Linked DNA regions of Xenopus tropicalis. The protein of the gene in region 3 purifies or fractionates together with the protein of the main gene of each other region. This does not show direct contact. Links are inferred from orthologs where the notes say so. Each region holds a gene or a part of one and is shown on either strand. Other genes may lie near its edges. The genes, in order: nedd4, nedd4l and litaf.

What was found.
Region 1: the proteins of litaf (region 3) and nedd4 purify together in Homo sapiens (co-immunoprecipitation; 4 studies listed by BioGRID and IntAct, counting the BioPlex papers as one, with this or other methods). This does not show direct contact. The link is inferred for Xenopus tropicalis from reciprocal best matches to the Homo sapiens genes LITAF and NEDD4.
Region 2: the proteins of litaf (region 3) and nedd4l purify together in Homo sapiens (affinity purification with western blotting; 3 studies listed by BioGRID and IntAct, counting the BioPlex papers as one, with this or other methods). This does not show direct contact. The link is inferred for Xenopus tropicalis from reciprocal best matches to the Homo sapiens genes LITAF and NEDD4L.

The regions. Positions count from the first base shown.
Region 1 is NC_030679.2:100,447,983-100,452,151, reverse strand, and holds the start of nedd4 (E3 ubiquitin-protein ligase NEDD4), read right to left. Parts: upstream 2,834-4,169; 5' UTR 2,171-2,833; coding exon 719-2,170; intron 1-718. UniProt on the Homo sapiens protein: E3 ubiquitin-protein ligase which accepts ubiquitin from an E2 ubiquitin-conjugating enzyme in the form of a thioester and then directly transfers the ubiquitin to targeted substrates. Specifically ubiquitinates 'Lys-63' in target proteins.
Region 2 is NC_030677.2:201,923,175-201,927,447, forward strand, and holds the start of nedd4l (E3 ubiquitin-protein ligase NEDD4-like), read right to left. Parts: upstream 2,802-4,273; 5' UTR 2,661-2,801; coding exon 2,622-2,660; intron 1-2,621. UniProt on the Homo sapiens protein: E3 ubiquitin-protein ligase that mediates the polyubiquitination of lysine and cysteine residues on target proteins and is thereby implicated in the regulation of various signaling pathways including autophagy, innate immunity or DNA repair.
Region 3 is NC_030685.2:36,370,491-36,374,529, forward strand, and holds the start of litaf (lipopolysaccharide-induced tumor necrosis factor-alpha factor homolog), read left to right. Parts: upstream 1-1,187; 5' UTR 1,188-1,314; intron 1,315-4,039.

The DNA.
Region 1 (4,169 bases), on a different chromosome or scaffold from region 3:
AATGCTATATACTTGAAGTTTTTTACAATAAGATGGTTTGGGGAAGATTTTAGAAAGCAGTCCTTAACAAGCTGTTGATTATTAAGGAAGGCAACCTGATCCTAAGCAAGTACGTACAAAACCTTCAGTGCCTACAGACCCTGAGTAAAGCTCTGATTTAATTTCATGACTGCTGTGTACAGATAGCTGGCATTACTAAAAGCTACTCTAATATCAACGTGTTAAATTTGAACCCACACACAGCATATCAGTATACACACCCAGACTAACTGGAGTCAAGAGAAATATTTTGGGAGCTGTTTATTTTTAACCGGTGCACAATGCTGAACTATAGCTGGCCAGAACACATTCACAATTTAAGACTTGCACAGAACTGCACAGTTTGAAGAGAAAACTTGCCCAAAATAAGCTTATTCAATTACAAATGCCATGGGGTCAGAAGAGCACTTGTGTGATACACTAAATGTAATTGCTAAGTGTTTACAGAGAAACAGCTAGGGACTTCTCAGAAATTTAGTACATTTACATGGAGTCTGTAAAAGAAATGAAGCACCTGATCTTTTTTCTTCCCCCCAACAAACACAGCTACCAAAAATCCCTCTTTAGAGCTGGTGATGAAATATAAATATAAAAAGGATAACAAGCAAATATGCAAAAGCAAAACATTAATTTTGATGAGGTGGCCCAAAATGTAATTTAATATGTTAAATAAGCTTACCTTAAGTAATTTCACAGAAGGCTTACCAGGCAGTTCTGTTGTGGGGCTTCTTAAAGATTGTTTCTTATAGCTACTAATCCTGCTTTCGTTTCCAGGGGCAAACTGTATGTGCAAATAAGAGGACCCTGATTTTGGATGTCTACATTTAAGGCTAGAGGCAGAGGACCGTTTTTGTGGGGGACCTTCAGAGACACTTCTTTGAAAAACATGAGTTAATTGGCACTTGTGAATATTTTTGTATCCCTGCTCTGAGCTTCTCCCCATCTGGCATTCCACAGTTTTATTGGAGGGAGAATATGCGGATGTGCTGCGCACCAGCCGACAGTGCCGTGCATCTGAGTTCAGCTGAGGTTTATCCTCATGCAGTTTGCTGTGTTCTGCAACAGAATTGCAAATATTTGGCAGTCCATCATCTTTGTCATTCAAGTAAAGCGGCTTAACATCTCTAACCTCACCAACATTGCAGGTGTTTTTGGAAAGCCGAACCCCATTGACTGCTGTTGAAAGGGACCCCTTGGAGGCTGCTTGCTCCTCTTTTTGTGTAAAATCATTAGAGGATAGCATAAGCTGGTAAGAAGTTTGATAGCAGCCCCTGCTTAATGGAGGGACTAGACTAGTTGGAGATGTTGGTGGAGTGTCAGAAGGAAAAATAACTAATGAAGAGCAGCGTCTTAATGGAATTCTTGTTTTCTTCCTTGCAGGAATTCTGACCTCCTCTTTTTCTGAGTGATCCAGGTCAAAATGGAACTTGCAGTTATTTATAGGCAAAGGTTCTTCCAGTTTACTTTTAAAAAACTCACAGTTTTCTTCTGGGTTAAAGAACAGGGCATTACCATTGGGTAATACATTTAAGTAATTGCTGTCACTTAAAGAATAAGTACAGCTACTGCAGTCACTTACTATACTGTTAGCACACGAGCCAGCATCACTTGCGGTACTTGCACAGGAGCCATAGTCACTGCTGTTGCTACTATATGATCCATTGTCACTTGCAGAAATGCTTAATAAACTGCCATTTTCAGCTGAGGTACTACTACTGATGCAGGTGTCATTTATGGTGGGTTGACAGTTATAATTCCTGCTCATAGTAGAATTAATTCCATCCTTGTAAGAACTGACGACGCAAATATCTTCCATAGCAGGCGCAGTGTTGCCAGATTGATGACATCTAGTATTCCTGCTTGGCTGTAAAGAAATCTGCACTGAAGTGCTTTTTTTGCATGGTGGAGAAACAGAATGACCTTGATGTATAGGAATAGTTTCTGGGGAAGAGGACTTCTGCACACTTTGCCTCGGAGACAGCCTCATTTGAATCACACCGGGTGCAGTTGTTGGAGAGAGTCTTTTAAAGCACATATGAATATTACTATCCAAGCCATCTCCAGAGCTTTCTGGTAAGGGATCAGTGTTGCTTCTCCTAGTTGCAAAGTGAAGTCTTAACCGCCGAGCCATTTGTTGTTTCTGAACATATTATAGATTTAAATATATAGAGCTCCCTTTCTCCAAATGCAAACCAAAAGCAGCAGCAAAGCATCTATAATAAGTGCAAGAAAATACACATACAGCGGCAGAATGTGTCCCAGTCAACAAGAGGCAAAGTACAAGCAAAAGGGTACAGCAAAGCACGTCATGAAACAAACATTTTCCAAGGATCCTAGCTCTGCACCGTCTTGGATATCTTCTATTTCAACTGCATTCACTTTCCAGGCAGTTGATTTCCAGCGACCTTTACGCTCAGCTTTACTGCAGCATACTGGCTGAAACACTGCCAAGCGTGTTTCAGTTCTACTTTCCCATATTTGCATGAATGAGTCCTGCCCAAGATCAACAGACCTCTTGCATTACTTTTTGTTTCTGTACCAGATCGGAACACTTGCCCATTTGAATCAATATGCCTATGTGTTCCTAAGCAATTCCCAGCCTCTCATATTTTTACCCATAGATATAAAGTTACAGGAAGTTTCAAGGAATGAAGGTCCACATAATCGAGCATCGGCGTTGGGATTGAATTTCTAAAGCCCATCCACACGTGTAAACTGCAGTAGTAACTGCAGGAAATTGGTACCTGTTATTATATATTTCAAGTATAACAGAAAATACTTTTATTTTTATAGTGGCATTTTTAGTTACAATCTTAACTGAAATGAATATGTTCTCTTAAAATGGGGAATTATTATTTTACTTTTGGCAAAACTACATCTAAACAGACTGTGCCTCAACTAATATATTTAAACTAATCTATAGTGGTCATATTAATTTTAACAACAGGAATATTTATAAAACAAGAGTGTCCTCTAAGTTCTGTATAACTTAAGAAATAATGTATTAGGTGACTACAGGAAATGGTAAATGGCATTTACATAGGCATACATAATGTAAAATACTTACAAAAAATGTAATGCAGTAAATATATAAAATAAATAAATTTAAAAAACAGAATGTAGGCTTGATAAGCAAACTTTGTAACTCACAACTGTCCTGTGGTGCCACCTAGTGGTTTTACTAAAAATTCCATTGTTGGAGAATGTTGGATAAATAATATTAGTTACCAGGGGTTTGCAGATAAGGGATCTCCTTTGAATCTCCTTACCTTAGGTCTGCCAAAAAATTATTTAAATATTAAAGGGATTGTCATGATTTTTATGGTGTACTTTTTATTTATAAATAACACTGTTTACATAGCAAATAATTTACTTTACCATTTTAAGTGTTATTCTTGAACCAACAAATGTATTTTTCAGTTGTAATAATGGTGTGTAGGCAGCCATCTCAGTGCATTGTGCCTGAGTCTGAGCTTTCAGAAGGAGCCAGCGCTACATATTAGAACTGCTTTCAGGTAACCTATTGTTTCTCCTACTCCCTTGTAACTGGAGGAGTCCCAAGCCAGACTTGGATTTCTTATTATTTTGCTACCTTCCCATTGTTCTCTTTGCTTATAATGGAGTTCATGGCAGGTAGCTCTCCCGTAATTTGGAACTTTCTAGATAATGGGTTTCCAGATAACAGAACCTATACCTGTAGTAAACGTTTGGATTGGAATTCCTTAAATCTAAACAAGGCCTAGTCAATTAAAGCAACTTAATTAGACAAAATCCTTTCTGCAGAAAAATGTCAACTGAATTAAAGCATATAAAATTCAGTTTTGTTTTAATCTTTGAAATAGAAAATAAATGTAGAAGAAATTGGCCTGGTTAAACCATTCCAAATCTTCCTGCAGTTTCCACAAGACCCATGGGGTTTGGCTATAAGTAAACCAGGAGCATGCCAAAACACAATTAGAAGCCAGTGAGAAAATCCCCACTGACTGCAGAGTATCAGAGTTTACAGGAATCATGCATGGTATACAGTTTGTGTGCAAATCCTTATAATGTTATTATAAAGTCAACCCTTTTAGTGAAATGTGAAGTAGAGCCTATAGTTTTCAAATAAAAAGACTATAGTATTGGCTCGG
Region 2 (4,273 bases), on a different chromosome or scaffold from region 3:
CGTTGACGTGTCCCTGAAACTGCTGTGCCTATATAGCCGATATTGGCAACCTGTAGGTAGGGATATGTGGAGAAGATCCGCCCGCTTGGCAACCTCGCCAAACAAGTGCCGTGTATGGCCACCTTTAGATATACCTGATACTGATAGAGGATGTCTTATATATGTGGGGCTTTTTTATGAGCTAAGGGGATGCATAAGGGCCCCCAACTCTATCAATCTAAAGAGCTCTGCCCTAATAATAATGATTTTAGTGTAAATCCTGTGCTGCAATCTGCTGCTGGGCTACGCCACATACATAACCTACATACAGCTTAATCTGACAATGTTATTTACAGTAATATATATATAACCTGGGCAGAGCTGCTGCCAGTGTCAAGTACCCACACAGTGAGGTGGGCGCATATAGAGAGAGGGGAGGCACCACTCCCTTAGCCCAGAATTCAAGCTTTCGAATGAATTCCTGCACAAATGTCAGCGCTTGGCTGAAAAAGAAATGCCCTGCAGGAGCCTCACCTCCAACTCCCGGGCGCACATACCATGTGCACTATGCATTCCATAGGCGTCACACACTGAGCCAACACCCACAGCAGGTACCGGGGGCACCTGAAATCATTCAAACAGGGACCATAGAGTAATATTGCCCAGAGAACTGGTAGTGCCCCTGGCACTATAGGTAGTTGGCGCCTCTGCATTCTAGCAATAGCAGCTCAGACTCACCCCCCACCCCCACAACACACCCAGATACACCACCAGATACACCACCACCCCCAGCTGGTTTAGTTCATTTAAACTATTCAATCAGGCATTGGCACTTTACAATATATATATATATATATATATATATAGCCACTAGTATGATGCCAGCTTGCAATACTGCCCATATGACCAAGCAATACAAAGAGGGGGCTCTTCCCCATGCTGCAGTGCCAATGCTGTGCCAGACTGACGGGATGCCAAACAGCAGTATTCCTGGCATGCCAATGTACATATAAGCAGTTGAACTCCCGGGATGTTGCCCAGCCGCAGCCAGTCACACAGATGCCAGTACTACAGATGGTCCCAAACTGCCTCAACCAGCAGTACTTATGGGATGCCAACAGGGTACTTATGGGATGCCAACAGGGTACTTATGGGATGCCAACAGGGTACTTATGGGATGCCAACAGGTTACTGATGGGAAGCCAGCCTTCCTGCCCAAGCAGTATACAGGGTGCCAGCCTTCATGCCCAAGCAGTATACAGGGTGCCAGCCTTCATGCCCAAGCAGTATACAGGGTGCCAGCCTTCATGCCCAAGCAGTATACAGGGTGCCAGCCTTCATGCCCAAGCAGTATACAGGGTTCCAGCCTTCATGCCCAAGCAGTATACAGTGTGCCAGCCTTCCTGCCCAAGCAGTATACAGTGTGCCAGCCTTCTTGCCCAAGCAGTATACAGGGTGCCCAGCCTTCATGCCCAAGCAGTATACAGGGTGCCAGCCTTCATGCCCAAGCAGTATACAGGGTTCCAGCCTTCATGCCCAAGCAGTATACAGGGTGCCAGCCTTCATGCCCAAGCAGTATACAGGGTGCCAGCCTTCATGCCCAAGCAGTATACAGGGTGCCAGCCTTCATGCCCAAGCAGTATACAGGGTGCCCAGCCTTCATGCCCAAGCAGTATACAGGGTGCCCAGCCTTCATGCCCAAGCAGTATACAGGGTGCCAGCCTTCATGCCCAAGCAGTATACAGGGTGCCAGCCTTCATGCCCAAGCAGTATACAGGGTGCCAGCCTTCATGCCCAAGCAGTATACAGGGTGCCCAGCCTTCATGCCCAAGCAGTATACAGGGTGCCCAGCCTTCATGCCCAAGCAGTATACAGGGTGCCCAGCCTTCATGCCCAAGCAGTATACAGGGTGCCCAGCCTACATGCCCAAGCAGTATACAGGGTGCCCAGCCTTCATGCCCAAGCAGTATACAGGGTGCCCAGCCTTCATGCCCAAGCAGTATACAGGGTGCCAGCCTTCATGCCCAAGCAGTATACAGGGTGGGTGCCACCGGCAGTATAGATAGGGTGGGTGCCAGCCCCCTTTGATTTACAGGCTACTGATGGGATGCCAACATACACAGGGTGCCAGTGACAGTATAGATAGGGTGGGTGCTAGACCATTCTGATTTACAGGGCTATGGGATGCCAGCCTCTCCTTCTCACATGTACTTAGGGATGCCAGCCTTGCCCAGCAGTATGCCAGCCTTGCCCAGCTGTATGCCAGCCTTGCCCAGCTGTATGCCAGCCTTGCCCAGCAGTATGCCAGCCTTGCCCAGCAGTATGCCAGCCTTGCCCAGCAGTATGCCAGCCTTTCCCAGCAGTATGCCAGCCTTGCCCAGCAGTATGCCAGCCTTGCCCAGCAGTATGCCAGCCTGCTGCACCTAACAGCACTGGTACCAATGGCACTACCTATTCTCACTGACCCACCATTGGGAGATGCCAGGCAATTCCTGTATGAGTTCTGCCCAATGACAGAAGCTACTGCCCCTATGCCAGTCTGGGCGAAGTGTTGCCCCTTCAGCTGGCAGCTGTGGTTGGACGGCCTCTGCTTGCCCCCCTGTGCCACCCACACAATTAAAGAGACACAAACATGTACTTACATCGTCTTCTGAGAGTCCATAAATGGGTTCAGCCGCCATGGGGAGAGTTGGGGTGCAATTACCCCTAATCCTTTGCGCACAGTAGATGGGAAACAATAGGAGGGCGCTGGCCAGCTGCCGCTCACTAGGTGCCTATTCCGGGTATAAGGTCCGTGCCGGTGCCGGCGGGTAGAGAGGAAGAGCCAGACCCGCCACTCACACGATGTCCCCCCGATCCCTGTCAGGCACAGTCCCAGTTCTCACACAAACGCACACGGGCCCCGCCCACCCAGCGCCAATCAGGAGCCGCCCAGCCCAGAGAGGCGTGGCCAGGGCTCAGGGACGCTCAATGAAAGTGGGGAGGGGCAGGGCGCCGGGGAAGTTCGGTTGAATCGCTCCTCACAGTCAGTGTCATGGGACCGTCCGGCCGCTCTGAGGCTTTTCCTCTGCTGCTGGGACAAACAGGAAGCTTGGGAAATGTAGTAGGAAACAGCTGAAGGGATGCTGGTAGTTGTAGTCAGGAGCAGGAGGGCGGCAGGTTGGATGTGCCAGTGTGTGTGTGAGGGAGGAAGCGCAGTGTGCAGCCTTTCCCTGTCCCTGATCCAACAGCGCCGTCTGCTGGAGACTGAGAGAGAGGCGGCGTCTGTGTCAGGAAGCAGTGACCTGCACCTATAGCCTCTAGCTCCTAGTGTGTCTGTAGCAATAAACAAACACTGCTTTTATTTGGAATTATATATACCTTTAGGGTGAAGTCACACTGAGCTACTAGTAGCAGCTACTAAACTCCAGAAACTCTCCTGCCATAGACAATACTGAGAATTGTCTCTGCTAAGACACACAAAGAGACGATTATCAGTAAATGATCAGCATTGGCTATTTTAGTAGCCATGACAAGTAGCTGCTACTAGTAGCTCCGTGTGTCTTCACACTTAAGGGCTCTGGCACACGGGGGAGATTAGTCGCCCGCGGCAAAACTCCCTGTTCGCGGGCGACTAATCTCCCCGAGTTGCCATGACCCGCCATCCCGCCGGCGAACATGTAAGTCACCGGTGGGATGGCACACACGGCGGCGCGATTTCCCGAAATCGCCGGAAAAGACTCACAAGTCTTTTCCACCAGCGACTTCTGTTGTTGCCAGTGGAAAAGCATTTCAGAGTTGATAGTCACCTGCAGTAGCAGAGATCTATCACAGGTGACTTAATCGCCCCATGGGCCACCAACCTAAGAAATGTAATCATGGTAGGATAGGATCTGTGCCACTGTGACAGAATGCTCTGTTATACAGATAGCTAGAATCTCAGCCATAAAGCAGGGCAGGACTGCTGCTTACAATGGGGGGATCAGATAGGATCTGTGCCACTGTGACAGAATGCCCTGTTATACAGATAGCTAGAATCTCAGCCATAAAGCAGGGCAGGACTGCTGCTTACAATGGGGGGATCAGATAGGATCTGTGCCACTGTGACAGAATGCTCTGTTATACAGATAGCTAGAATCTCAGCCATAAAGCAGGGCAGGACTGCTGCTTACAATGGGGGGATCAGATAGGATCTGTGCCACTGTGACAGAATGCTCTGTTATACAGATAGCTAGAATCTCAGCCATAAAGCAGGGCAGGACTGCTGCTTACAATGGGGGGATCAGATAGGATCTGTGCCACTGTGACAGAATGC
Region 3 (4,039 bases):
GTTTCTTTGAATGGACAGAGGGTGATATGCAATGTTTATTATGCCAGTTTGGCCATCATCTGAGTTTGACCTCTGAAGCTGCATAGGGTGCTATGAGAAAGGTTCCATATGGCACCCTTTGCAGCTTCAGAGGTTCCCACCAACAGGATCCTGGGTGCAGTGCCTTAGGATGAGTCTGTGCTACAAATTACAGATATACTATTATTACCAGCACATCATTAGGCCCTGGCATTTCAAGTACACAGAAGCCCAATCAGCCCCAAAACACTGTGACTGTCCGTTAAAAATTGACAATAGTCCTCCTGGCATTTGCCAGAACCTACAGTTTGCCTGTACACCATACCTCATTGGTGTTTATTCCATTTTTAGAAAGACTTTCCCTTTCCGGTCATCATATGGTGAGAAGTGGAACTGTGCAGGCCGCAGCTTAGGGGCATATTTATTATAGAGAAAATTTGTCACACATCGCCATGTAAAAATGGCGTAAAAACGGCGTAATTCTTTTACGCATTTTTTTTCCACCGGAACTTATGGAAAATAATGGCGTAATATCCGGCGTTCAGATGGTGATCTTTTCCATTTATTTTACACAGCTTTTTTTCGCCGAATTAAGTTTTATACAGCATAATAAATACGCCCCTTAGTGTCCGATCACCAGCGATCCAACATGCTGGCTTCAGAGTAAACTGCCCCAGAACCAGCATACATGCCCAGATGATGGTAGGCAGGGTGTATGAAATCAGCACACTGACCAAATCAGGCCAAGTATGACCACAGTATGACTATAGTATGACTACAGTATGGCACAACAGTGCAGCTGCCTGCACCCCTCAAGGAATACAAACTCGCCTGAGCAAACAGAGACAATAAGCTCTGTCCTGCGAAACCTGGGACAGCTGGCTGGGCTGGAAACTCTATGCACATAACCTTCACCTTCGTGAGAACTGAAACTACTCCAAAACAGAAGCACACTTACTTCCGGTGAAAAAGTTTCGCTATTTCATGGCAAAGAAAGCGTACTATAAGGGGAGGAGCAGCGCAGCGTTGGGGAACTCGGGCTCCTTGCTTGGAACACGCACACGGTGTACTCTCAGCGCTTCCGGGCCAGCGTCGCGCCCCTCAGTTTAACAGCGGGATAGGGCGGTGCCTCGTAAGCCACGCCCGCTGCAAGTTTTTCTCCGTATGTTTCCAGAGTTGTGGGAGTACAGTCCCTAGCTTTAGTGTGCCTAACTTGGATCTGCTTGTCTGAAGCTTGTCGTTGCGTTCTCCTCTGGTATTAGACAGATTCAAGGGACCATTTCTGTCAAATTTGAGGTACGTGCCTGTCTCCCCTCACCCAAGGATCGCTTTCCACGTTTACTCTATAAAGTTTTCACACTTCGAACTATGAACCGCTGCTTTCCAGCTGTGGATGAAGATGAGGAATGCTGGGAGTTGTAGTCCGGCCGCAGCTGGCGAACTGCACGGGAACGAGTGATGTCACTTGCTCTGTGTTAGAAGCAATCGCTCTTTCTTACCGATACGCTTGCTTGGCTGTAATGTTTCTGTCCGTGTATACATACTGGGTTGTGTATGTGTGTGCAAGTGTGCGCCGGTAGCGCAAAGATGGCAGCTGCTACAGATGTGTGTGTGGGTTGGAGCTGGAAAGTTTGCTATGCAGGGAGCTGTATCCGGCCGCAGCAGCAGGGTGAGAGTATCATGGTGTGTTTGTGGGTACAGGTATTTAGCAACACATGGGGCTCGATGATCGCATTAAGCTGAGCCATATTATCATTGTATTATTATTTTGCCTATTACATATTTCCTATCAGCTAGCCCTAACATTGTTGGCATTTGGACACAATAAATTGGTTGAATCATCTGTTATTAAACAAAATCACTATAATTATGATTCCTCTTGTTAAAATGAGAGATCTACCATTTACGGAAAATATGTTGTTTGCAATATGTCTATGAAGATTCTCATTCATCCAGGTCATGATATACAGTATCTAGTAGAATTAAGTCTAAAACAACTGGACTTTTCTGAGTTTTTTCCTTGAAAACGTTTCAAGATTTTCCATTTCTAACATTGGGACAGTGAAAGCCTCTTGTGTGAAATTATTCAACTGTACAACTGTACTGCTTTAAGAACAGAAGCCCTATGTAGGTATAGCCCTCTGTTTGCCCCTAAATTGCCTTTCTGGCTCCTTTATTTAGTCTAACACCTCCTCCTCCTAGCCCAGAGCAAGGGGAATGTGCAGTTGGGGCTAGGCACTCTGGTACCTGGAAGGTAAGTACCACTGCTGAGTGGAAAGGGCTTTAACCTTAGCTGGACATGGCTACTATAGGCCTGTGCAAATAAAATTAGTGACTTTTTTTTGTTAGTTCTTTAGATGCTTCTTTAACAGCAGCATAAATCTATTTGGCATGATTCCTTTGCAGTTTAGAATACACAGAATGTAATTTCAGCACAAGTTCTATTAATTCTGCTCCTATTGAAAAAAAGGTCTTTGTGTATGTATATACTATTTTTCTATATGTATTCTGCCCCTTTAAAGGGCTAGACAATGTTAAACCAATTCATTTAGTCTAACTAAAAGGCATAAAGAAGAAATACTGAAATCTGTGACATTGTCCAATAGTAACAGCTATAGTGTGATAGAGTTTACAAGGTGGAACTTTCATGTACCAGTCAGGCTGACATACCTTCCTCTATGAATTGCAGATTATTGAATATTTCATACAAACATTCTGCTAACATTCTCGGGTTTCTAAATTGGGACTTTGAGCCTGTCACAACTAGCCCATCTGTACTGCAGGAGTCCCTAATCCTGTTGCGCAGTTTACAGAATGTGTGTGTACCAGTATTATTTTAAATCCCAAACCCTATGCCATAATTTGGAAAGTGCTGCTTATAAATTGCAAAGTAGCAAGTCCTCACTGGTGTTCAAAATAGGCCCTGGAATTTCAAGTACACAGAGGGCCAAACGGTCAGTCACTATTTAGTGGGCAGTGGGGGGCTATGGCATCTTAGAGCACTACCTCTAGCACTAGCCAGAATCCACAGATTGCCAGTCCAGGCCTGCAAAATAGTACACTTTCCAGTAAACTGAAAAGAAAAGCAATGATCCAGTGTTCATACTCAGTGTATTCAGATCATTTTTTCCACCATTATAGCATCATTGGGCTTAAGTAAAACATAAACAATTCCTCAGACTGAGAGCCATAATTATCTCCTGTGACTCATAGGGACCATTTCCCCACCCCTTAAGGTGGCCGTACATGTTCAGATTTTAGTCTTTTTCCGACGAAGTTTGGATGTCAGTCATACATTTCAAGGGGATGTTTACCTTAAAATTAACGTTTATTATGATGTAGAGTGTGCTGTTCTGAAACAATTTGCAATTGGTCTTCATTTTTTTTATGTGGGGTTTTTGAATTATTTTGCTTTTTGTTTTAGCAGCTGTCTGGTTGCTAGGATCCAAATTACCTTAGCAACCAAGTAGTGGTGTGAGTGAGACATTGGGTTATAAATAGGAAAGGGCCTGAATAGAAAGAAGAGTTATAAAATATGACAATAATACATCGGAGGATGTTCTGAACATGAAATAGTTGCAGACACCAAACCTACAAAAGTTCCATTGTAGGTCCCCCAAGGATATTGTCCGATACACAAAACATGCATGTTAGCCGACCAAAATTTTTAACCTGACCGATTGGCTAAATGACCAATCACCATAGTAAGAAAATGATTGGGACGATAATTCAGAGCCCACACATGGTCCAAAAATCTTACAAAATCTCGTTTTTATCGGTGTGTATACGGCCAGCTTTAGCCTGGCAGAGTCATTCAACCCCTGGGACTTGAAGTTGCTTTTTAAAGGATCTATGCAGTGGCCACTGTGGAAAGCAGAGGAACTTCAACTCTATAAATCCATCACTTCACCACAGTACAATATGAGCGAGGGGTTGAATGACTGTCAGCCTAACTGGGGGTGGGCAGTGGACTGTGTGAGTCAGAAGCAGGTCATTGTGTTTTCTCTATATCTGTGGAATA